Linked DNA regions of Oreochromis niloticus. The protein of the gene in region 2 purifies or fractionates together with the protein of the main gene of each other region. This does not show direct contact. Links are inferred from orthologs where the notes say so. Each region holds a gene or a part of one and is shown on either strand. Other genes may lie near its edges.

What was found. The genes of interacting proteins can lie anywhere in the genome.
Region 1: the proteins of rsrp1 (region 2) and psme3 purify together in Homo sapiens (affinity purification with mass spectrometry; 3 studies listed by BioGRID and IntAct, counting the BioPlex papers as one, with this or other methods). This does not show direct contact. The link is inferred for Oreochromis niloticus from reciprocal best matches to the Homo sapiens genes RSRP1 and PSME3.
Region 3: the proteins of rsrp1 (region 2) and cpsf6 purify together in Homo sapiens (affinity purification with mass spectrometry; 3 studies listed by BioGRID and IntAct, with this or other methods). This does not show direct contact. The link is inferred for Oreochromis niloticus from reciprocal best matches to the Homo sapiens genes RSRP1 and CPSF6.

Annotation. Positions count from the first base shown.
Region 1 is NC_031973.2:6,504,325-6,512,202, reverse strand, and holds the start of psme3 (proteasome activator complex subunit 3), read right to left. Parts: upstream 3,004-7,878; 5' UTR 2,874-3,003; coding exon 2,832-2,873; intron 2,333-2,831; coding exon 2,300-2,332; intron 1,701-2,299; coding exon 1,638-1,700; intron 501-1,637; coding exon 396-500; intron 298-395; coding exon 249-297; intron 178-248; coding exon 59-177; intron 1-58. Other genes in the region: nbr1a (NBR1 autophagy cargo receptor a), read left to right, coding at 3,154-3,255, 3,606-3,668, 3,766-3,784, 4,798-4,820, 6,968-7,150, 7,356-7,433, 7,537-7,760. UniProt on the Homo sapiens protein: Subunit of the 11S REG-gamma (also called PA28-gamma) proteasome regulator, a doughnut-shaped homoheptamer which associates with the proteasome. 11S REG-gamma activates the trypsin-like catalytic subunit of the proteasome but inhibits the chymotrypsin-like and postglutamyl-preferring (PGPH) subunits.
Region 2 is NC_031983.2:27,287,333-27,295,126, reverse strand, and holds the start of rsrp1 (arginine/serine-rich protein 1), read right to left. Parts: upstream 3,017-7,794; 5' UTR 2,782-3,016; intron 2,169-2,781; exon of another isoform or gene 2,165-2,168; 5' UTR 2,124-2,164; coding exon 1,517-2,123; intron 1,428-1,516; coding exon 1,270-1,427; exon of another isoform or gene 865-1,269; intron 645-864; exon of another isoform or gene 207-644; coding exon 132-206; intron 49-131; coding exon 1-48.
Region 3 is NC_031981.2:10,572,522-10,580,506, forward strand, and holds the start of cpsf6 (cleavage and polyadenylation specificity factor subunit 6), read right to left. Parts: upstream 3,004-7,985; 5' UTR 2,908-3,003; coding exon 2,848-2,907; intron 1,266-2,847; coding exon 1,056-1,265; intron 969-1,055; coding exon 865-968; intron 600-864; coding exon 454-599; intron 173-453; coding exon 1-172. Other genes in the region: cacna2d4a (voltage-dependent calcium channel subunit alpha-2/delta-4), read right to left, coding at 6,015-6,110, 7,345-7,427, 7,794-7,909. UniProt on the Homo sapiens protein: Component of the cleavage factor Im (CFIm) complex that functions as an activator of the pre-mRNA 3'-end cleavage and polyadenylation processing required for the maturation of pre-mRNA into functional mRNAs.

The sequences.
Region 1 (7,878 bases), on a different chromosome or scaffold from region 2:
CAAATGGCCAAAATAACATTACTTAGATAAGATAAGAGACTTTAGAGCTCTTACTTACTGTGTTACATTTTTCTATGAGTGTCCTGATCTCGGGCTTGACCTTTTCAATAAGATCAACAAGGTTCGCATTGCTCTTCATCATCCCATCAGGCATGGCGAAGACCTTGGTGCCAGTCACTGATAAAGGAGTAAAAGTTAAAAATACATAAAATACAGACTAAATATTCAGCCAGCGAAACTGTACTTACCCATGTCAACCCCACTTCCATCCTCCATCTTCCTCTTTTTGGCATTTTGCTGTGAGAGAGATGCAACAGTTACAAACAATTTCTCATCCTTACCTTACCAACAGTTACTGTAACAATACGAAATCTAACTCTAAAATGGATCCTCACCGCTTCTAGCCCATCGTGGAGATTTGAGAACAAGATGGGATCTGGCACTGGCAGATTTATGTCTGAGTGAATTTCCTTCAGTTCAGTGATGTTTATGCTTGGATCCTGAAAAAAACAAAGACAAGATTAGTTGTCAAATGCCAAAATATACAGACATGATAAGAAGAAAGCACATCTGCTGCCAAATCTAATCTATTTCACATGTCAGGACATCAAAAAATCTGATCTAGCAGGTTTGAAAAATGGCTGAATACAAACACAGATGAAAAACATATGACTTATGTAGTGACATATGAAGTCTTGGACACTACTATGTCATTACGTAGTCAACAATAACCAAGCCAAAGGACAGAAGCAGTGTGAGGAAAAACTAAGAACACACCATGATTCAATAGCTTGCAGAACCACCTTTAGCAGCAACAACCTGAATAGTTTTCTGTATGATATCAGTCTCTCACAGGAGGAATTTTGGCCCACTCTTTATATGCTACTTCACTTTATTAAGGTTTGCAGGTGTTTACTAATACACAGTCTCATAAATCCCTGTCACAGTATTTAAACCCAGCTGGAGTCTGGACCTTTCTGGAAAACAGCAAAACACCTTACTCTCTCTTTTTCACTCAATCTGTTGAAGATCATTGTCTTTTGTGACCCAACTTTAGCTGTTAAACAGATGGCCTCACATTTGAATCTACTTTAGGACAGAGAGGAGTTCATGGTCGACTCTGTGACTGGAAGGTGGCCAGGTCCTGTGGCTGAAGAGCCTTCTCCCAGCAAATCTTACAAACAAGCCACACTAGTCCAGTCTTTAATTGTGCTGTCATGCACTTTAACATTCTAACTGAGGCCTGTAAAGTCAGAGATATAACTCTTACAAAAATTACCTCTGAACATTGTACAGTTTGACCTTGGGGGTGAGTTAACTGGAGCATCCACACCTGTGATTACTAACACCCATTTCAATGTTTTCCTCTTGTGAACAACCTCCCTCACTGAAAAATGATGGACTTCAAATTTTTTGCTTTTATAGAGATGTTTATGCTTGCTGATGACCAGTTCGTCAAGTGAATTTGTTTAACAGCACCTGGCTGTTACTATTTTAATTCTGGACAATTGATAAAGACTGACTAACAGATAATGAACTTTAAAGCCAAATAATACATGGGAAGGAATGAGTTTCAACTATCCACAAAGATCTAAAATTATGCCAACTTGATTTAGCTGAATGTACAATTAACTGACCTTGAGGAAATGGTCAAGTTCCAGTAACTTCTTTGGGAAAAAATTGGCGACTAGATCCTCTGCCTGGAAGAAATGTGCATTGTTAGTGGAGTCTTGGACATCACAGTCATAATAGGTGTGTATGAAACTGTGCTCACCAAATATACACATTTAGCTATACATATATAGAAACATCTATATCTGTGAGTTTCCACACTACCTACAAATCAGAAGGTTGGTAGACTGATTCCCCGTTCCTCCAGTCCATGTGTGAATGTATCCTTTGCCAAGATACTAACCCCAGTTGTCCCCAATCCATCAACTGGGGTGTGTGAGTGGGTGAGTGTGTGTGAATGTCAGATAAACAGTGCTCAAGTACAGATAAAAATGCTGTTTGAATGTATGTGTATGTATGTGTGTGAGCAAGAGCGCGATTGGGTGAATGAGGCTTAATAGAAAGTGCTTTGAGTGCTCAAATAGAACAAAAGGTGTTACACCAGTACCACACTGGTTTTTCGCACTTTAGTAAGTTAGATTTAATTTACTCATAGCTGGACGCAGGCTTCCATTAAATAAAGAAGCAGACTCTACGCCTTAATTACAGGCCCCTAAAGGCTAGCTATGAGCCAGGATAAACTCCTGCATGTATATATTTTAATTTACAACGTAAGACAGAGACTTACTTCTGCGGTGATACGTTCCTTGAAAGCAGCGACCTGTAAACACAAACAGATGTACGAGAGTTTGAATACCAAGTTAACAAAAAACACTTTAAGACAGTAAACTTTATTTTGGTCCAGTTTTAAACACATGACCGGTTCCTCAGTGTGAGAGACAACCTCTAGCATTGGTAACTCAACGCCGGTGTGAACGGCAGCTGGCTGAGTTAGCTAACTTGGTAGCTCAGGCCTTCGTCAGTGCATGTGGTCGTAGTAGCAGCAACCATTTTCCCAGCACAGGGGGCTGTAAATCAAACTTTATCTATATCCCCGTTACGTTTAGCGCCACCCTGACACCACACCTGGGGGAAGGTTTGACAGGTGTACTGCAGTGGGCGGGAAACAAGAAACCGGTTAGCCGGTAGCTGCTGTTAGCCTGGCCTTATCCGAGCTCTCACATCATGCTACTAAATGTGGCTAACATGCTAGCAAAGAACATGGCAACAACAACACGCAGTATAAACTCAACTGGAATTCACAAAAGGCCAAACCTCACCTTGGTTTTAATTTCACTATCCAGCTTGAGGAGTGAAGACATCTTATGTAGTCGAATATGAGCAGAACGATTGTCCCAACAGCATTAAATTCACCTGTAAACGTGTGGCTTATCACTTGTCTGCCACACTTCGTGAGCTTAAAGATGACGACAATAAACATGCGACGGAGGCGGTGTTGCAACTGCGCTTGCGCGCAACGTCACCGTCTTTTTCTAGACGCAGCTGACGATGTAAACAAGAGAAAACATCCGAGGGCAGCGGGGCTCACACAGGCCGGGTTTCACGCAAATGATAGCCATTAAGCACCGATAGACGGCGGACATGGGGCTCCCTGTTACTATTAAAGTCAATTTCCGGGGGAACGTGAAGAGGTTTCTGGCTCAGGATATGGATAAATTGGAGTGGGAAGCTGTTGAAGTCTGGGTAAGCAGCTAGCAGAGTCTTGGCTAAACGCTGGCGCAGTTTAGTGAAAAAGTAGGCCTAGACGTTTTGGCCTAGACACATAAACAGAGCTCCCAAAGGATAGTCGATCTTGTTACGACAATAACAATAATGTATTTGTAAATAATATTTTTTTAAGCCAGCCGGAGCTTTACAAAATATAGGCACACAAGTGAGGATGTCCTCAGTTTGATTTAAGGTTACTACATATGTATAATACAGTATCCAGCTGTGGAGGTCTTTCTCACTGACTCAGTCATGGTTCATGTTTTTCCTAACACGTGTGAGGAGAAAAACTGAACTGCTCTCAATTGTTCTGCGTTACTTTTCAGATCAAAGCATCATTTGGGATCAACCACTTTCAAGTGAAATACTTTGATGAAGACAATGAAGAGGTAAGGGATTGTGTACATTGTAGATTTTCAGTGGTTATGTTTTGGCAGAATCCCAAGTTCAGTTTTTAATTTTGATCTCATTTACCTTACATTTCAGATTTGCATAAACAGTCAAGGTGAGGACAATATTTAATTGCTTGTTTTCTATATAATTTATGTTGAATATGTTTAGGTTTAGGTCTTCCTTCAAAGGTAAATCACCAGGACTTTGTTAAAAATATATGTAGCCAGCATTTGTTTAAAGCTTGGTTTAATATACTCAAAATTAAAATACATGTTTGTTTATCAGGTGGCTGAAAAATAACATGAAAAGGCACAAACCTCTGTTAACTAAGATAACAAAGACTCTTTTCCCTAACTACATCCTAACCCATTATGCTTACATACATAGTCACCCCCTAATGACCTGTTTGATCCAGGAAAGCTGTCCAACTGATAGATTCCTAACCTGATATGGACCTATGACAGATAATATTGGCATTCATAACATGTATTGTAGAAATTATGTCAAGTCCTGTCTTCAGAGAATTTGCTTTGAATTTTGCTAAATACAGTGGACTTACCAACAGCTAAACTTATGCTGAACCATTGAAAAGCCATGCAAAACATGTGGTCCAGAATTAACACAAAGGTGTTAAACAGAGACAAAACGTAAAACAGCAAGGGCCTAGAAGACAACAGTGGGGTGTCAAGATCAAAGACATTTAAATGCACAGGTAAAACAAATGGGTAATTCAATTGTAGGCTCAAAAACTCCATGGGGTAGGCAACTGCCTTTTGGTTACGGGGATTGTGATCAACATCCTTTTCTGCATTAATTATAAAAAATGTGTTTCGAGCAAACCGGTTTTGTAAGCATTGTGTTGAATATTCACAGCTTGGCCTGCAGGACATGTAGCATGATATGCATAACAGTAAACAATGATGTGTGAAGTCAAGCTGTGTCTTTCAAGTTGTTAACTGGTCTTTAAAATACATTGCTAGAAAGTTATTACATTTGGAACCTAAACTTTTTGACCCTTACTCCTGGTGTACCCGTACATGAAAATATCAAAATACCAGGAAAAAATACAGATTTGAGCCACAAAATGTGAAGTTATTTATTGTTTGTTTGTTTTTCCCCCCACAGATGAATATGAAGAAGCCATCAAGGTACTGTAGCAGTGCTGGGTTTAAACAGAAAGGACAGAGTGATAGCTTTTGTTACTGTAGAGCAGTGATTCTCAAACTTTTCAAAAAGAGTACCACCTCATAAAATATATGGCTCTTAAAGTACCACCCTTATGACCGACATTAAAGTACAGTGGTATAGGGTTACTTAACACCATATACAGTTTACACGAGACAATTTTATTTATTATATGAATGTTATTTATTTTAACTGTCATGAACAGGATGTGACAAGTGATAATAATAACAACTGTACTGCATTAAAACATTCACAGCAGGTGGGATATCCAATCTTTAATGATGACGTGATGAATCCTGCTTCTGGGTCTAAACTACTCTGCGTTTATTAAGGCTGTTGTGTTTTTGTTGTGTATCTTGTTCTATTTAATCTGAACAAGCCCCTAAAAATGGCATTGATCACTGTCAGCCTCTCTCGGTTATTATCACCCCTGTTCATTTTAAAGCTCAGTTTTTAAAACCTTACCATGTAACTACAGCCCAGGCCATGCAGCGGTATATAGGGCTGGGCTATATCATACTGTTCACGGTAATACCGGTGTAATTTTGGGCAACGATAGGAAAATGAAATATCGCAATAGAATATGGGTAAAACGCGCATGCGCAGTGCCTATGTTTACATACGCACATGGCGGCGACGCAGAATGAGAAGAGCGAAAGTGGATCTTTAAATGAAACGGATGAACCAGAACTGGTTTGTAAAAATGCTGCAACTTCAGTGGTGTGGAACTGGTTTAGCTTTCGTCAGTCAGATACACAACAAAGCACTATTTTTGGTAGCGCATGCTAGTGGGCCGTCGTTATTACCATGTTGTTTGGAAAATACGGCACACTTAAAATCAATCCTTTGATTTTTCTGAAAATCGACAGTGTCCCTTATAATCCCGTGTGCCTTATGTATGAATTCTGGTTGTGTTTACTGACCTCGAAACGATTTTATGTACATGGCGCTCGAAAATCTGTCAAATGTTTTAGTACGACTTTGCTAAGCTACGAACCCGCACCGGTTGATGGATTGTCGGAGCATTACGGCTATCGTAGGCAGAAGCCTCGCGGAGTGATACGTACTGTGCTTCAACATAATATTACCATATTGTGTGTGTATAACCTCTTTTTAAGTTTTGTGGATATTATACATGGTTTTGCTGAGGATATGTCGGCCGATTTCCACTGGAAATGCCTTTTGGTTAAACTGTCAGCAAGGAATTTGCACTGTTACATTTTTATATAACTTTAATGCACATAAAAAAATAGCTGCTTGTTTAAGTGAAAATACATTGATGGTGTTTTTTGCACTAATAAAGTTGTGGAGTTGTAAAGTATTTTGTCTAGTGTCAATTATATCGTCAGTTATATCGTTATCGCAAATTTTCAAATGTATATCGTGATAAATATTTTTGGTCATATCGCCCTGCTCTACAGCAGTATATTAATGGCTAACCTCATATTGTGGATGGATTATCTCAGTTGTTCTCCTGACTGAAGTTTGGTCCGTTTACAGCATCCTGCCGATTGCATTTGTCCCTAACCATCGGGAACCCTCACGTTAACTTTTATTGAGTGGAAAAAAGTTAGCATTCATCCTCCAGCTTCACTGTGTTTATATTATGCTAACATAGACGTATTGCTAGCCAGCACGTAGCACATTATTATATACCAGCTAGCCCAACTTCAGTAACCCTACAAACGTCACTCCTGTTTAGTTTTCTGTCTTCATTTATGTTGGAAGTGACAGCAGAGCTGTTTGAATTTTTCTGAAATCTCTCAGTCAGAACATGGCATATTATTTAATCGTAAAAAAAAAGGAGACTTCACATGTACCACTAGAGGGAGCCCACGTACCACCAGTGGTATGCGTACCACAGTTTGAGAACCACTGCTATAGAATATATCCTTACATAGAGAACCTGCACCGTAAAACTACACTTAAGACATAAACAACACAACTGTGTCCTTAATTAGACTACCAAAGCTATAGAAGAACAAACAGTGAAAATAAGAGAATATATGTGCAGTATATGTACTATGCATCTGTACACACATCACGTTGCTACTGTGTGTTCTCATGTCACTTGACTGTGGTTTGCATTCTGTGCTAATTCTCCATGCAGAGTGCAGAGAAGCAGGGAAACCAGTTGCACATGAATGTGTACAAGATGAAAGGACAGGCCTGTGGGGGCCCACTGAAGACCGAGGTGAAGGAGCTGAAAGGAGACCTTCGACCCGCTCCTCCTTACCCCTCAAGGGTTAAAACAGTGGACAAAGGCACGCAGGTCACCCCTGAGCGAGAAGCTGTAAGTAATTCTACTCTTCCCCCCCAACTTTCTTCTCCCTATAGATTCTCACATGTGCAGTGCCTTTGAAATCATTTTAATAAAGTCAGTGCCTCGAATCAGTTAAGTTTTTTTTACCTGTTGGGGAAAAAGTTTGTGCTTATTTATTAAAAGCTAAAATCTCTGATTTTGTCAATTAACTGAAGAATGGTGTATTTTCATGCAGGTAGCAGTAAAAGATAACAAGGGGAACAAACCAGATGATGAGCCCCCTCCTATGTGGTTTAGATCATACATGGAGAAGGTAAAATTTAACTGCTGCTGTGAAGCAGTATTTTTACATGGAACGTTTTATTTTTTAATTGGCGATTAAATAAAATACTGTGCTTTCCTTCTGTTTTTCATAGTTTAAGGATGAGGTGGTAAAGGAGGTAGTGGAAAGAATGTGCAGCGACTTTTCTGTCCAGTGTTGTACCCACAAATCCCCTGAAGGTCCCCCTGAGGCAATTGGGGCTATTGGCGGTATTATGGGACCCAAACCAGGCCCCTCCACCTCGAATGGATCCCTTGGCTACACCCCAAACTGCAGCAGCTGCAACAAACTCACCTCTGAAGGAGCCTACAAATGCAGGTATGCATGAAATTAACTCTAGTCATCACAACAATGTTTTTAACGATTTTTACATGTTTGTTGTTTTTTAAGTAGCTGTGTAAATGTTTACATTAATGTTTTTGTTATTTTGCCTGCC
Region 2 (7,794 bases):
TACCTTTGCTGTAGGAGGAGCTGCCGATGTTGGCTTAGCAACAGAGTTCTGCAAACAAACAAATTATTTTATCGCCAGTGATTCAGAGCAGTGTGAAGCAGGGAAAACTCACTTTAGTTTAGGTCACTTACGTTAATGCTGAAAGCGATTTTTCCTTTCTGGGATGACCTCGGGCTGGAGTCGTCATCAGGCTCCTCCTCTGTGCCCTGTTCAAAAACAAGGACAACAAGTAGTTACTCACAAGCCCCAAAACTGGAGGCAGAGTGAGCTTTCACAGTTTGTGAAGGTGATATTAGATGAACTGCTTCTAACACAGTTAAGCCTTTCTACTGCGTAGGTAGGTATATCTTCAACAAACTGCAGCTCTCATGCAACCCCCAAACACTTAATCCAAGCTTCAAGGTGAGACCTTGAAACAATCTACAAAACAAATTATATAGAAAAAAAAAAAAAAGAAAGAAAAAAAAAGTATAAGTCTTCTCTGTCTACAGTTGCATAATGGTGATCACGCAGGTTTCCCAGCCCCTTAGCACACGCCATGTGTACCAACTTATCTTTGGTATATGGAGAGGAGTTCTTCATCTGTTTTTAGCTCTATAATGCAGTCCACACACGTGCGCTCCATCAGCGAGTGGAGGGCTCTGCTAAATAAACGACCCATTTCAACTGCAAGCATAAATACATTTGTAATATCAAATTTGTACTTCCTTTCTACATGAAGGTGAATCAGTAATAACACATCTGAGTTGGCTGCATCTATGTGTGCAATTAGCAAGTGTCTAAAATGTGAGATGTGACATCTACATTTGCATTTATTTGGCCTCTAGTGGAGAAAATGCAGATTGTGAAGATTACAAGGAGTACATTTTGTTATCACCCAAGTCACATGACAGCCCTTTAATCCCAGGTGCCGATGAGTGAAGGAGACCACTGTCATGTCATCTATGAAGACAGGAATAAATAGAGAGCATGTGTTCCCCTCAAGGTCCAAAAGGTTAAACAAGACAGGAAAGTCAACAACACAGACCACAAGATAGTCACAGCTATAACCTCTGAGTGCTGAATCATTTAAAAACAACGGGTTAACATCTACCGTATGATTGAGTTAAAGGAGAGCACTACTGTGCACAGGAGATATTTCTAAGCTTCTTCATATCCCTCGTCTTTATATGGAAAGAAAAAGCACATCTAAGTCTTTAGAGTATTAAAAGCTTTGCCTTCAGTGAATGGCAGGTTCCACATACAGGTAACGTTTCCTGTGACACTCACCTGTGCTGCGGTCTTTTCGGAGCCGTGTCTCACCCTTTTCTCTGGCTCACGCTTAGGTTCTGACAGGATTGGTTTCACACTCTCAGGAAGTTCCAGTTTCTCCACTCCCAGGATCTTCATGGCGTTGGCCTTTGCAGCTTCGAGGAGTTCCCTTTTATCTGTTAGACACAAACCAAATGAGGACATTTAATACGAGCATCATTACTGCTTGCTGTCAATTTCTACTGATATCAACTAGAGATCTTACCATGCAGACTGAGGCTGACAGAACGTCCACCAGATCGGGATCGGCTCCTGGATGGGGATCGTGAAAATCTGCATCGATACTGGCTCACGCGGCCCCTGGACCTGCTCCAGCGGAAGGATGACCTGGATCGGGACCTTGAGCGGGACCTGGAGGGAGACCTGTACCGTCTGCGATTTGAGTATCTGTCTGGTGAGCGGCTGAATGAGCGAGAGTGGGCCCTGTAACGGCGGGGTGGGGAACGACGAGAACGACCTCTGCTACTTCTGCTGTGGTCGTCACATCGACAGCAAGAGGAGCGTCTGTGGCAGCGGGGGTAGGAGCGTGACCTGGAGCGAGAGGAGGACCTGCTCCTGGAAGAAGATGATGAGGACGATGAAGAAGAAGATGATGATGATGATCTGTAATAGCGTCTGCGTCTATCCCGCCCTCTGTAAGAGCCTGAGGAGCGGCTGCTGTCATAGCTGCTCCTGGACACAGAGCGGGATCTGGAGCGTGACCTGGAGTAGGATCGGGATGAGGTGGGGCTTTTCTGGTCAAAGATCACATTGAGGCCATCGCTCTGGCGAGCACGGGCCATTTCAGAATGAGAGCCTGTTCCCTTGGCCATTGTCTGGTCTTCTGCCAAAGGCTGGAAAGAGAAAAGAAAACCTGCCTAAAACAATGAGAACACTTGGTCAGTGGTGGTCAGCATGCCTCAGTAATTTTAAGTACTTTACTGGAACAGTCTTTTTAATGTGGCATTACCACCACTTTCTCAATGATGCCCCTAAAGAGCAAAGTGCAACTGCATAACTGGCAAGTCTGACTGCAGACTACTGGTAATATCACATTTCAAGGCAGGCTAAAACTAAAAACTGCTCCCCGAACATTAAACAACTTATAAAAGGAATGTCTTAAATTACATTATGTGTTAGAAACGTGTGTCAGCCGTTAAAATCTATTAAAAGACAGCATAACCGTTGCATAACCACTCTCAGTGCTGCCCCTAGTGAGCAAAGCCCGGTAAAGCAGTGTTGTGTAACATCACCGGCTAAACCGGCTTGAACTGGAAAGTTCCAGGATGACGTAACCCTGAGCTAAGGCTTCTCCAGCAGTTGTTAAAATACAACTTTTAAAGGTTATCGTTGAGCAACATTAGCAAATAATAATTTATCCACATCATTAAATTTGCATTAGTCACAAGCTTTGTTTTTTTTAAATCTGAAACCGTCTCGTGTAACTCTAGCTTGGAAATAAAATAAAGGCAACGGCGTTGTTTGTCTTACCAGTTCGACTGTAACTCGAAGATACTCTTTCTGTTAACGTCGATATAAAGAGCAAACGCTGTGGCAAATTGTTGCCCCCCAAAAGTATATCAAAAGACGAAAAGCTGACAGAGGAGCTCAAAATGCTCGAATTTGTTGGTTTGCAGCCAAATAGCTCAGAAAAAAAGCAACCGAAGTGTCTTCCTCGAAGTTCACTCTTCCACCGTCGTCACTCAAGTGAAAGCGGGAGGAGACCGCAGCGGGCTTTAAACCCGCTTCTGGAAATTTCCATTCACGTGATGTTCGCGACGATTGGATTCTTTTGAATGACTCGCGGGCTTAACGACTCTTTTTAGGAACGAAATAAGTCGAGTTATCTTCCCTTTAGCGGCTTCTGCTTTTTTAAATCTCCGCAATATTCATTCTTCCTTTAATCGTTGTTTATGAATCGTGTCATATTTGTGTTTCTACAATCAGTATCGGTTAAAAACAAGGTTAAAGAAACCGATTTAGCGGGTAACTGATACAGTTGGTGAAAAGAATCAAATCATTCAGGGCGACCGATAAACCCCACAGAGGAAAAAGCCGCATTGAGGGTATTTGTGTTTTGAAGGGCTGAGTGCTGCAGAAAAAACTGCACACACAGTTCTGAGATGCAGTAAACGCTATTATTTAAGTATTCTTTATAGAGGAGTTCGATCCTTTATGTATGTAGCATGTATTCAGTGTATTATGTGCAGGATAGAGTTTACAAATGAATTCTGCAATGATTATGATTTAAACAAAAGCTTGCTGCAGCAAGTAGCAGAGCATGCTGCGATAGGTGAAGGGAGGGGGACAGTTTGCAGTTTCTAGAAAATTCACATAAACCTGAAAGATTACATTATATCTGCAGCATTATCATTGATAAAGGGATAAAAGATGCACCACAGCATCAGCAGTTTATTGCTGTATTACATGTCTGAGTGGTGAATAAACATAGACTAGACATCATCACTAGACTCCATATCATTTCATTGATACTCAACATAAACAGCCAGTAAATGCTACATGGTCAGATGGATTACATAATACTTCAAATTTAACTGCACTTATTATACAGGGGGAAAAAGGAATCAGTGAAGTTATTTTGTATTTTGGTAATACAAATTTAAGACTTGTTCAAACCCACTTCTAACTCAGCTTCATCCATTTTGTTGGACTAAAAAAGAGTTGCAATGATTTGCATTAACACATCCTTTCAAATAATGGTATATATTGTTATAGGTCTTTTGGTATTGGTTTACTTTGATAGCTGCTTGTTTCAGTCAAGGTTTCTTTTAAGATAAGGCATGGAAAATCCTTTAAGAAATAGTTTGGCTCAGTGAGCTGAGTAGCCGCTTTGAGACTAGGAGGGCCAGGTTCGAATCCTGGTCGTGTCAGCACAAGAGTAAGAAGCACGGGGGATTGGGAGCCCCAGACTTAAAAATTGTTTTGCGAATCCCTTTTATTAAAAATACTCACAGTGCAATTTCTCGGGGTGCCCCGTGGGTTCGAGGGAAGGAAGAATTGTGGCATAAAAAAAGAGGCAGGGCCAGAGCGGGCGTACCATACCACAGACTTATGTTTGGAGATTTATCAAGTCAATGGGGACATTATAGCCTAAATATTCTCCAAGATAATACGAAAAATATTTATAAAAAAATTAATGAAATTAAAAATGAAGGTATGATTCAATATAAGTACGTAGATAAAGACGAGAATCTTTTGGTTGTTAAAAATATACAAGACAAATTATTATCCGAAAGCATGAGAGATGTGGTATGGCTCATCTCGCTCGGGCGCCTCCCTGTGAGGGCAGTGGTGCAGTGGAGTTGTTTTGTTACCACCATGAAATGCCCTATGATAAACTGTGACGAAGATGAGACCTTAGAACATCTTCTTTTGGACTGTTATAGGACAACTAAGATAAGGCAGAAGATGACAGAAATTGGGTATGATGTTGATGTTAACATTAAAGCAGTTAAATATGGTTTGTTTAAAGAGAAAATGAGTGAAGACAAAAGGAGACTCTTTTGGTTAATAATGTGTGTAATAAACACACATATCTGGAAAACCCGTACCAAAGGAGTGATAGAACAAAAGATGATAAGCAGTGATGTGGTGAGTAAACATATCATTACAGATCTGCGGAGAAGAAGAACAATGGACCTGAAACTTGGAAAAGTTTTCCCCTGGAACGTATTGAAACTGTAAGTTTTAAAAGTACTTTGTGGACTCAGATGCTCGACTTTCCTCCTTGTTTTCCTTTTTCCTTAATGAGTAGTATGTGATCATGGTTTTGTATATGTAATTGTATGTGTATGTAAATTTTATATGTATACTTTAAATAAAGTGTTTAAAAAAAAAAAGAAAATCCTTTAAACATGTAGGGGGCCAAGCTTCAGCTCAATCAAATGTGTCTTTGTTCTTGGTTCTTGTTGAGTATTTGTTGAGTTGAGTAACTGATACTCTTTCTCGTGTTTCTCATGTCTCCCTATCAGCGTCCTTATCTTCCCTCACTATTGCCCGTGTTTTATTTTGCTAATGAATCTCTCTTCGGTTATTCATTTAGCTTTCCCTCTTTGTAACTGTCTGCCCCACCCACATTGGCTTGTCCTCGTTCGTTGTTTGTTGTAAAACAAAATTCCAAAAAAGGCCTTGAAACTAATTATCCAAACTTTGTCCTACAGAAAACAGAATCTTATTTTAAATACAAAAAGGCCAAATTTCACTATTTCCACATTAAATAGCATAAACCCAATAAGTTTTATGGTATTTAGTGGAATAATAGTAGTTTGGGGGGTTTTTTTAATTGTATTTTAATGGTTTATCTTTGGCTTTTTTTTTTACTTTGCCGTTGCATGTCAGGGCATGACTGAAGTCTTTCTCAGCAGGAAGGCTGTTAAAGTGACAAAATACAATTAAAAATCTGCTTATATTCTCTAAGGCCGTCCAGCGAAACTGAATTTCAGATGTTATCAGTCAGCTGAATGGGAGTGATCATTGGGTCTTCAACCAGAATGGGTCGTCAACACCTTCTAGACTCTAGAAGGTGTTGACGACCCATTCTCAAATCTTAATGAATGATTCTTTCATATATTCTCCTTCCGTGAACAGCTTCCCATGCCTGACTATTTCCTAAACGGCCACAAAACTTGCATAGTTGAATTTGCAGACTTCATCCACTTCTTCAACTGATTTTCCCTCAGATCAGCTTTCCGCTTCAGTTCTTCAGCTTTATTTCTCACTTCTCCCTCCGGGTATTTTTCAGCAAAGGCTGTGTGTTTATTTTGGAAATGTCTTGCGACATTTGACATTTTATTGTTAGCCAATCTCTCTACACAAATTAGGCATACTGGTAGGCCACTCTCATCAGAAGTAAATGCCAATGAATCCGCCCGGGCATCATTAAATGTTCTATTTTCTTCAGATATTTTTCTTTCCTGACATTTCTCCATACTTGGCCTCCCTGGGGTTGAAATTCTCGATACGCTTATTTTGAGTGACAAAAAATTTAAAAAAATTAGAACTACAATTTAAAAAAATGTTAAAAAAAAAAAATAACTGACACAAATAAAATACACTTCAAATAAATTCTTATAATTTATTTTCCCAAGCCACACAGCTGTACAGGGAGTGCAGAATTATTAGGCAAATGAGTATTTTGTCCACATCATCCTCTTCATGCATGTTGTCTTACTCCAAGCTGTATAGGCTCAAAAGCCTACTACCAATTAAGCATATTAGGTGATGTGCATCTCTGTAATGAGAAGGGGTGTGGTCTAATGACATCAACACCCTATATCAGGTGTGCATAATTATTAGGCAACTTCCTTTCCTTTGGCAAAATGGGTCAAAAGAAGGACTTGACAGGCTCAGAAAAGTCAAAAATAGTGAGATATCTTGCAGAGGGATGCAGCAGTCTTAAAATTGCAAAGCTTCTGAAGCGTGATCATCGAACAATCAAGCGTTTCATTCAAAATAGTCAACAGGGTCGCAAGAAGCGTGTCAAAAAACCAAGGCGCAAAATAACTGCCCATGAACTGAGAAAAGTCAAGCGTGCAGCTGCCAAGATGCCACTTGCCACCAGTTTGGCCATATTTCAGAGCTGCAACATCACTGGAGTGCCCAAAAGCACAAGGTGTGCAATACTCAGAGACATGGCCGAGGTAAGAAAGGCTGAAAGACGACCACCACTGAACAAGACACACAAGCTGAAACGTCAAGACTGGGCCAAGAAATATCTCAAGACTGATTTTTCTAAGGTTTTATGGACTGATGAAATGAGAGTGAGTCTTGATGGGCCAGATGGATGGGCCCGTGGCTGGATTGGTAAAGGGCAGAGAGCTCCAGTCCGACTCAGACGCCAGCAAGGTGGAGGTGGAGTACTGGTTTGGGCTGGTATCATCAAAGATGAGCTTGTGGGACCTTTTCAGGTTGAGGATGCAGTCGAGCTCAACTCCCAGTCCTACTGGCAGTTTCTGGAAGACACCTTCTTCAAGCAGTGGTACAGGAAGAAGTCTGCATCCTTCAAGAAAAACATGATTTTCATGCAGGACAATGCTCCATCACACGTGTCCAAGTACTCCACAGCGTGGCTGGCAAGAAAGGGTATAAAAGAAGAAAAACTAATGACATGGCCTCCTTGTTCACCTGACCTGAACCCCATTGAGAACCTGTGGGCCATCATCAAATGTGAGATTTACAAGGAGGGAAAACGGTACACCTCTCTGAACAGTGTCTGGGAGGCTGTGGTTGCTGCTGCACGCAATGTTGATGGTGAACAGATCAAAACACTGACAGAATCCATGGATGGCAGGCTTTTGAGTGTCCTTGCAAAGAAAGGTGGCTATATTGGTCGCTGATTTGTTTTTGTTTTGTTTTTGAATGTCAGAAATGTATATTTGTGAATGTGGAGATGTTATATTGGTTTCACTGGTAAAAATAAATAATTGAAATGGGTATATATTTGTTTTTTGTTAAGTTGCCTAATAATTATGCACAGTAATAGTC
Region 3 (7,985 bases), on a different chromosome or scaffold from region 2:
AGGTGTGGTGGAGGACCCCCAGGCCCTACAGGACCAGGGAAGCGGTCTCCTCCGGGGCCAGGTGGTCCGGGGAACCTGCCTCTCCCTCGGCTGCCCATGGGGAAACCGCCACGGGGTCCAGCACCAGGAGGACCAGCCTTTCCTTCCCCAGACATCTGGCCTGTCTGGGTACCTGTGAAAAGATAAAATATAAACTCATTTCATACGTAATCATTAATCAATATGTGCACCTGGCTAAGAGACAGAAACAAGAATAAATTACATGTATGAGTTCATACATATGCTAAGATTAAACACGGGTCATGTAACATATGTGATGTATTGGGTAGTCAAATATATTCATCTTCAGAATAACTCACACATTCCAACATGTGCAAATTTTATACATAACTTCCTTTAACCAGTACTGATCTCTTCGGATAAATAAACCATGTGCACACTTGCCCTACTTACTTTTGCGTGATTGCATTTCAAACTGGCTGAGGGACTGCTTGTTGCATGGTGTGACAATGGGATTCTGACCATGGAGCTCCCTCTTTGACAGCAGCTCCATTAACTTTCTGGAGGATGCCTCTGAACCAACACACACCAGAGCAAACCTGGAAAACACACGCAGAGGGCATACAGTCAGATATTTGATTGCATAAACGTCAATGCACTGTGAAATTCTGAGCTGATAGTAATATCTAAACAAGGTCACTGACAATGAAGAATATATTTATGTCTTTAGAAACAGCAGCTTTGTGGTAATATAATCATAAAACTGACTCAGTGTGATCCCACCCTGTACTCCTAATACGAAATACTTAACATAGTCTTTGACTTAGTGCAACTGTTACAGAAATAAAATAATAAAGACCTCACCCTTTTGACTGGCCATTGGCTCTATTTTCAAAGAACTTTATCTCCAGCACATCTGTGATGCCTATCACCCGGATAGCTTCTGTCAAGTCCTCATCTGTTGTCCACTGCAAAAACAACCCCAAGCAAAATGGCATCACGTATGGATCACAATTAAATTTGTCAGTCCAATTTTTAGACAATCTGACACTCACCCATGTGAGGTTTCCTATGTACAGGGCTATTCTTTTTCCAGTGTAGGTGTACACCACGTTGGGCGGGGCGCTTTTCCCTCCTTCTGTGCCACCTGGGGCTGGCAGTGAATCCAAGTAATCCCGGTCTTCTGGAGCATCACCATTATTGGCTGATGGGGATATTACATCATCATACAGGTCGATCTGATCATGAACTGGGTAGTCAGCTTCCTGTATTAAGAATGCAAGAACAGATCAGTGAAGCACTTAATATCTAGAGCTTGATAATGATTTGATGTTATTAACACCAAGGATATAATCTATCAACGTCTATGTCTGATCTGATTCTGAATCAGTTTCCTCACCAACACCAGAATAGCAAACCTATATTGGTTTTCACCATCACATTGTACAAAAAGGTTTCCTTGTGACAGGTGTGTAAAATTCCCACTGAATTGAGTCTGATTTAATTGTTTTTGCAATAGGCAGTTGTCAGAAAAACATACCAGCACTCATTAAAAAGATGTAATTCACTATTGAATCAATTCAAGTTCAATAACGCTAGGATCATGCAACTGCTTTATGCTGACCAGGAAAAGTCAATTTAGGGCTAAGCTTCACAGTGTATCCAGATTGTAGTATGATAATAATAATCATAAAGGTTACTTGTGGTGTTAAATATAGTATAGTTGGCAAGACTCCTAAAATGACCAAAGTGTTAGAAGATTTTTTTTTTAAATACTTCGATCACATTTTACAATCCACACATAAACACTGTGTAAAATGCCACAGATAGAAAGTATGGCTGATATAACTATCCTAATTTAAAGACACTGCAAAGCACAACGGCCAATTACTGATAATCTTAGAGGTTAAAGGAGATATTAGTCAACAAATGCTAAGGGTTCAAATTACAAGAGCATGCAGACGTAAATTAGGTGATGAAAGAAAAAGAAAAAACAGCATAAACTTGTGATCAGCAGACAGTCGCAAGCTTCGTAGAACTTATATCCGTATCAAATTAATTTGAAGTGGTTTATTTATGCACCCTGTGCGAAAACAATTGCTCCAATTGGGACAAATTAAAAGATTTGTCACAGAAAAGGGGCGTGTGGAGAAAAATATCTTCTGAATAGCCCCAACATTGACCTAATCCATGCTAACAACATGCCGTGTTTACTACACTATTCAGAGCCTACTAAGGTTGGGCGACTGGACGAGTATATCGACGATAGCCTATCGTCGATATATTCGCCTACCGTCAGTTATTAGCCTGCCCATTGTCGGTTGGAAAATGTTTACACAACCTTAGAGCCTAAAGGCGTTCGGTTTAGCTTAACACTTCTCTTTATCAACTTAAAAAATTAAAGACTTACTAGACATGACAGCGTGATAGCTGTGAATTAGTCAATGTCAGCTCGCTAACGAAAGTGCGTTTGTTTGGCTTGCTAGCCCGCCACTGGCGACCATGCCAAGGCCTGAACCCAAGCTACGCCGTGAAGACGGCTGCATTTAGCATTTACTTGAATAAATAACAACGCACATCACGAAACAACTGCAGCGTGCATATTAATCACTAAATACATGAAAAGTCATGTTAAATATCGACAACCCCACGAACAAACAAAAGTCTGCAAAGCACGCCGATAGCAGAGGCTGCAGGCTTGCAGCATGTTGAAAAGGCCTTGTATGTCAGAGAGCCTCTTTAGGCACAAAAGCTCGCCACTTTGTAGGTTACAATAAAGATAGCAGATTATACAGATATTAAAAAATTAACACCTATAAGCGAGGTAGGAAAATATGTATTTATTACCTGGCTAAACTCCTCCTCGACGTCGGCGTAGATGTCGATATGATCCACACCGTCCGCCATTTTCCTCTGACTAGCAGCTCTCACCGCCTGCGGTGCAGACTACAACGACGGTACACCACAAACAATGAAAAGAAGACAGGCAACGAGCGCCCCCGCTGGTTAATTTCATTCATTACAACATCACCCGTGTAGACCACGGGAAAATCTGTTGCAGTCATCACTGACTGTGAAACGAGTCCACCGTGTTAAAAAAGCAAAACTTGTTAAACAGTTTACATGTTTATACATCCTCTTGCTTTACTTATGATTTATAGCATGTGTGACATCAGTTTTAATTATATGGCCCATTTTTTATAGCCTTGAGACAATGTCCCACAATTTACTTGCTTTTGAGGATATTCTCAAGTCTGGCTTTTACCCAATTATATGAAGGGAAGACTTTCTATTACAATAAACTGCTTTTTGTTACAATGCTATAGTCATCAGGGAAAGTTCAAAGAGATCAAAACCTCCAGGGCTTTGCAGAGTTTGAATGATGATGTAAACTACCACAAAGAAAATGACACACAGAGAAATACAGTTGTCTTTTTTTTTTAGTTTCACACAGGAGAAAATATAATGTGAAGAGACACAGAATATATGTGTGTTATAACTATGCCAATCTACCGTCACATCCTTACTGAGAATACAGGAGATTATAAAGACTGTTGTGTGTGAGCCATAGGACAAACTCGTGCTTTTTTTTAATCGCTACTGTATTTATTCAACAAGAGAGCTTGGAATATATGGGGTACCCCCCTAGCATTGTTAATGTTTTCCACTTTGTCCTAGACAAACACAGTCTTTGCCCCATATTTAGTTTGTTGGGATCTGGTCACCAAAACTGCCAGGCTCTCGTATCGGAACCCCTGAGTGGTATAGATTTCAGAGTGAAACTCGGAACATTGCATGACCACATTTGTCTGCAGTTTACTTGCTTAGGTATTTAAATAATATCGAACGAGCTGTGAAGCAAGAGGCTGAATGCAGCAATTTTAGAACTTTTAATTGACAATTCACTAGAGAGAGAAAAAATAAAATAAAAATAATGCTAATATTGCATTGGTGGTCAGGAGGATGAATTAATCTTCCCTAAACCTGCCATGTGTCTACTGGTGGTATTTGAAACGGGTTCTTTTACACATCAAATTAAATATATTTTATTAGTATGAAGATGCAGTGATTAGCAGTGTCACTTGAAAGCAAGAAGCTTCCTCTTTTGTGCCTCCTGGTCCGCTGGGGCCTTTCTGTATAATGTTTTTATGTTTTCCATTTACCATTCTGGATGCTCTGGGATCCCGCCACAGTACTCAGACGTGCATGCTTAACTGGGGATTTTAAGTTGGGTGTGAGCGTAGATTTTCTTTGTTTTCTGTCTATCTGTGCTAGACCTGTGATGAATTGACAGGATTTTATGCGTTCAAACCAAAGAACTTCAAAGTATGAATGAGTACAAAGCTTTGACTATCACTAAAATTCCAGTCAGAGTCATTTCTTTTATATATATTTAAAAAAAAATAAATAAAAAAATCTCAGGTTGTCAGTAGACAGAACTGAAGGATTGAATCCACTTACCAGTAAAGTCCTAATTTTGATAACTGTTATCAATTTGCCTTTATGTGGCCAAAATAAATTACTCAAGTTTTTTTTAAAGAAGATAAACAACAAAACCCAAATTTATAATTTTATTTACACAGTACAAATTAGGGCCACAGACGTGGTAAAGCCAACCCGTGGAGAGTATAAACAAAATCAGGACAGCTAAATAATTAACTCTCAGAAACTTCATAAGTTTAACTTCTATGCGTGCTTTGAGAGACAATTAAAAATGGGTGTAGAAAAGGCTACACTGACACTCAGAGCCAAAAATGCATTTAAGTGCTCAGCAAAAAGTGCAAAATATAAAACATACAGGCAAATATATACAAAAATATCATATGCAGTTAGTTTTATAGTGCTAATTGACACTGAGATTAAATTTTTATTATTGTGACATTTTATTTTTAGTGACTGAGCTATAATAGCGAGCATTGCTATAAAAGTTACATTTTAAATGAAGAAAAAAAGCCTTAAGAAGAGCGTTCATAAACCATATTTTTAAAAAAAACTATAAATATTTTTTTAATTGCAAAAACATTTGTAGAATTTTTCAAAAATGTAAATCCTTGGTGCCAAATACATTGCAAATGCATGTATGCATTGTTTTAATGTCAAAAGTTAGATATTACCTTTTTAGAGTGTGACGATCTTCAGCTCATTTATTATTTCAGCATTTACAGCCCATTAGCCAGACATACATAATTAGTTATGGTATGTAGCGAGAGACAAAAGACAAAAAAAGGCAGACAGATATGTAAAAATAATAGTCACAGAAACATACATTTATAGGATGGAAATAAAAAGTGAAAACATAGTTCCCGTAGAGGCTGACAACTCCATTCTATTTTACTTTATTGCATATTAATTTTACACAGATAATTAGCCATTGAGTCCAATTGTGCCTACTTTACCTTATCCAGTGTCAACTTGTCCATTATTAACATGACTCATTAGCAACACAACAGTGTCTCCCTATATCGCCCTACTGCAGCCCTCTTCTCACTGGCTATTCTGCATTTATAAAAGTCTGCAGATAATGCATTAGATGTGTTTACTGGATGTATCCAACGCATATATAATATGCATGTGTGTGGATAAATATGCAGCTCATTAGAATATGGGAAGTGAATAATGCATGTTTTTCTCTTTTCACTTTTTCATGTTGTACCGTGTGAATCCTTAATTCTTGTTCATTAACACCCATCACAGCTAGCCGTCACCCTTCAGTCCCTTTTCGTTCAGAGATACAATGTGGAGCATAAGAAAATAACAAATGAAAAAAAGTATCCATGGCAACAACAGTACAGCAAGTTCTCTTTTTTGCAGCTTTTAGTTCAAATGTAATTCTCTGGAGTTAACCAGCAAATGCTCATAACATCCAAGGTCCTTCAAGAGAGATTGCGTCTGTCGCCTTTGTGAGCAAAATGTGCAGAATCTGTTCAGTAGTTAAAAAAAAAATCCACTCAAGGATTTCAGTTTTTGTCATCTTTTCCTTTATATGATGAAGCGTAAAAGAGCGAAGTTATCCGTCATCGGGAAACAAGTGCAGCAAAAAGGAGACACATGAAGAAAACAGAGGTTGACGGAGATATAAAAGAGGCTCCTCCACAGTCATCGGCGTTCTCCTGCAGAGACAAAGCAGAAAATTACTTCACCTGGCGAGTCTTCAATTTGCTACCAATCATTCATGAAAATGTGATGTATTCAAACAGAAAATCATTTTAGGGCACAGAAGCAGTTGAGTAAGACAAGAGAAGAATGCTGGTTTTATGCATGCATGTTTAAACACATGTGCAACCCCATTTTCAAAAACACGAAGATGCTCTGAAAAGGTAAATTAAAACTAGTACAAAGACAAAACATTGAATGAAATAAAGTAATGTGCAAAAGTCTTGAGTCAGAATAATGGGAAGGCCTTTGCTTATGACCACTTAAAAAATGACAACAAAGTCTGCCTCCTTGGAAACAAAATATAAAGAAATGAGTGGTGGCTCAAAACCTTTGCACAAAACTATGTTTTATTTATTCAATTATTTTATTATTTTTTAACATAATATATGCTCATTTAGAATTTGATGCCAGTAACATGTCTCAAAATGGTCAAGCCAGACAACAAAAATACTAGAAAAGTTCTATAATATCTCACAGCTAATGAGGTCAATTAGTAACATGAATAGGTGTAAAAAGAGCATCCTAGAGACCTTTTCATCAGTAAAGATAGGGAGGGTTGAACAGTCTGGGTGATTCAATTAAGAGCAATGTTTCATAATGTAAATTTGCAGAGAACTTGTGGTTTTTTCATATACAGTAACATATCTTTAAATAGATTCTGAAAAACTAGACAAAGCAGAAAACCAACACTGAATGCTCTTCAAGCTCTGCATTGAAAACACAGATTATTTAGTCAAAATTGCTGCATGGAAGTGGGAACACTTCTGATAACCTTCATCAGAGAACACACTTTGTAGCTGCATTTACAAATAAAAAAAAACAGTAGTTTGCCCACAGTGAGAATCTGTCACCAAATAAAAGCATTTGGTGCACTGTAAAAGAAAAAGATAACAAAAGAGGCCCCAAGCTGCAGAGCAGCTGAAACCCTACATCAACCAACAATGGGAATTAATTTCTCTTTCAAAAGTGCAGCAACTGATCTCCTCAGTTCCAAAACATTTACAGTGGTTGTCCCTGCATTTTTTTGTTTGTCTGTTTTTTTGCAGGCATCAACTTAAGAAGGAAAAAACGCTCAGCTTTGACATTTGAGAAGTTTTTATAGTACTTATTATTGTAATATTTATGCTGTAACAGGGTTGTATGAATATACGTGTTTTTTGATGTGTCGTGCTGTGATGAAATTCTGACCTGCGCGTGATAAGAGTGACAAGACTCGGGGCGTCTGCGAACCTTTTGAGACTTCATCCTGTCACACTTCACTGACGAGTTATGTACAGCAGGGTCAAGGAGCAGCAACAGAAACATAGTATGGTTTTCCTGCACGCTCATTCAAATATTACGACTAAAGACACGCAGTATAAACATTTCAAAGATATGACATGGCAGGCCCACACCTGGAATCTAACTTAACAGTACGGTTGGTTGAGTCAGTTAAAGAAACACAACGATTTAGGCCAGCATGCTTAATTAATACACATGTTAGAATAAAGAGTCTGTACTGTAGGTACTGTAGATCTACAAAGTGTGCCCAGATTGACTCAGTGTATAGGCAGGGTGATGCTTCAGTTAGGTTAAAACAAGTAAACTTTATGTGAACATGATTCACGTGATCCATGAATATAAACATCACAGGATATATCTGACTTCTTCTGGCTCCAGGGTGATGGGTGGGTACTGTTTGGAGCAGTCACAGTCTGCTTGCACCACCAGCATCAACAGGTTGCTCTCTGGTATCTGCTGCACTACAAACATCCTGACATAAACAAAAAGGAAAAGTGTGAAATAGACAAAAACACAGAAAGACAACCTTCTATGTAATATAATGACAC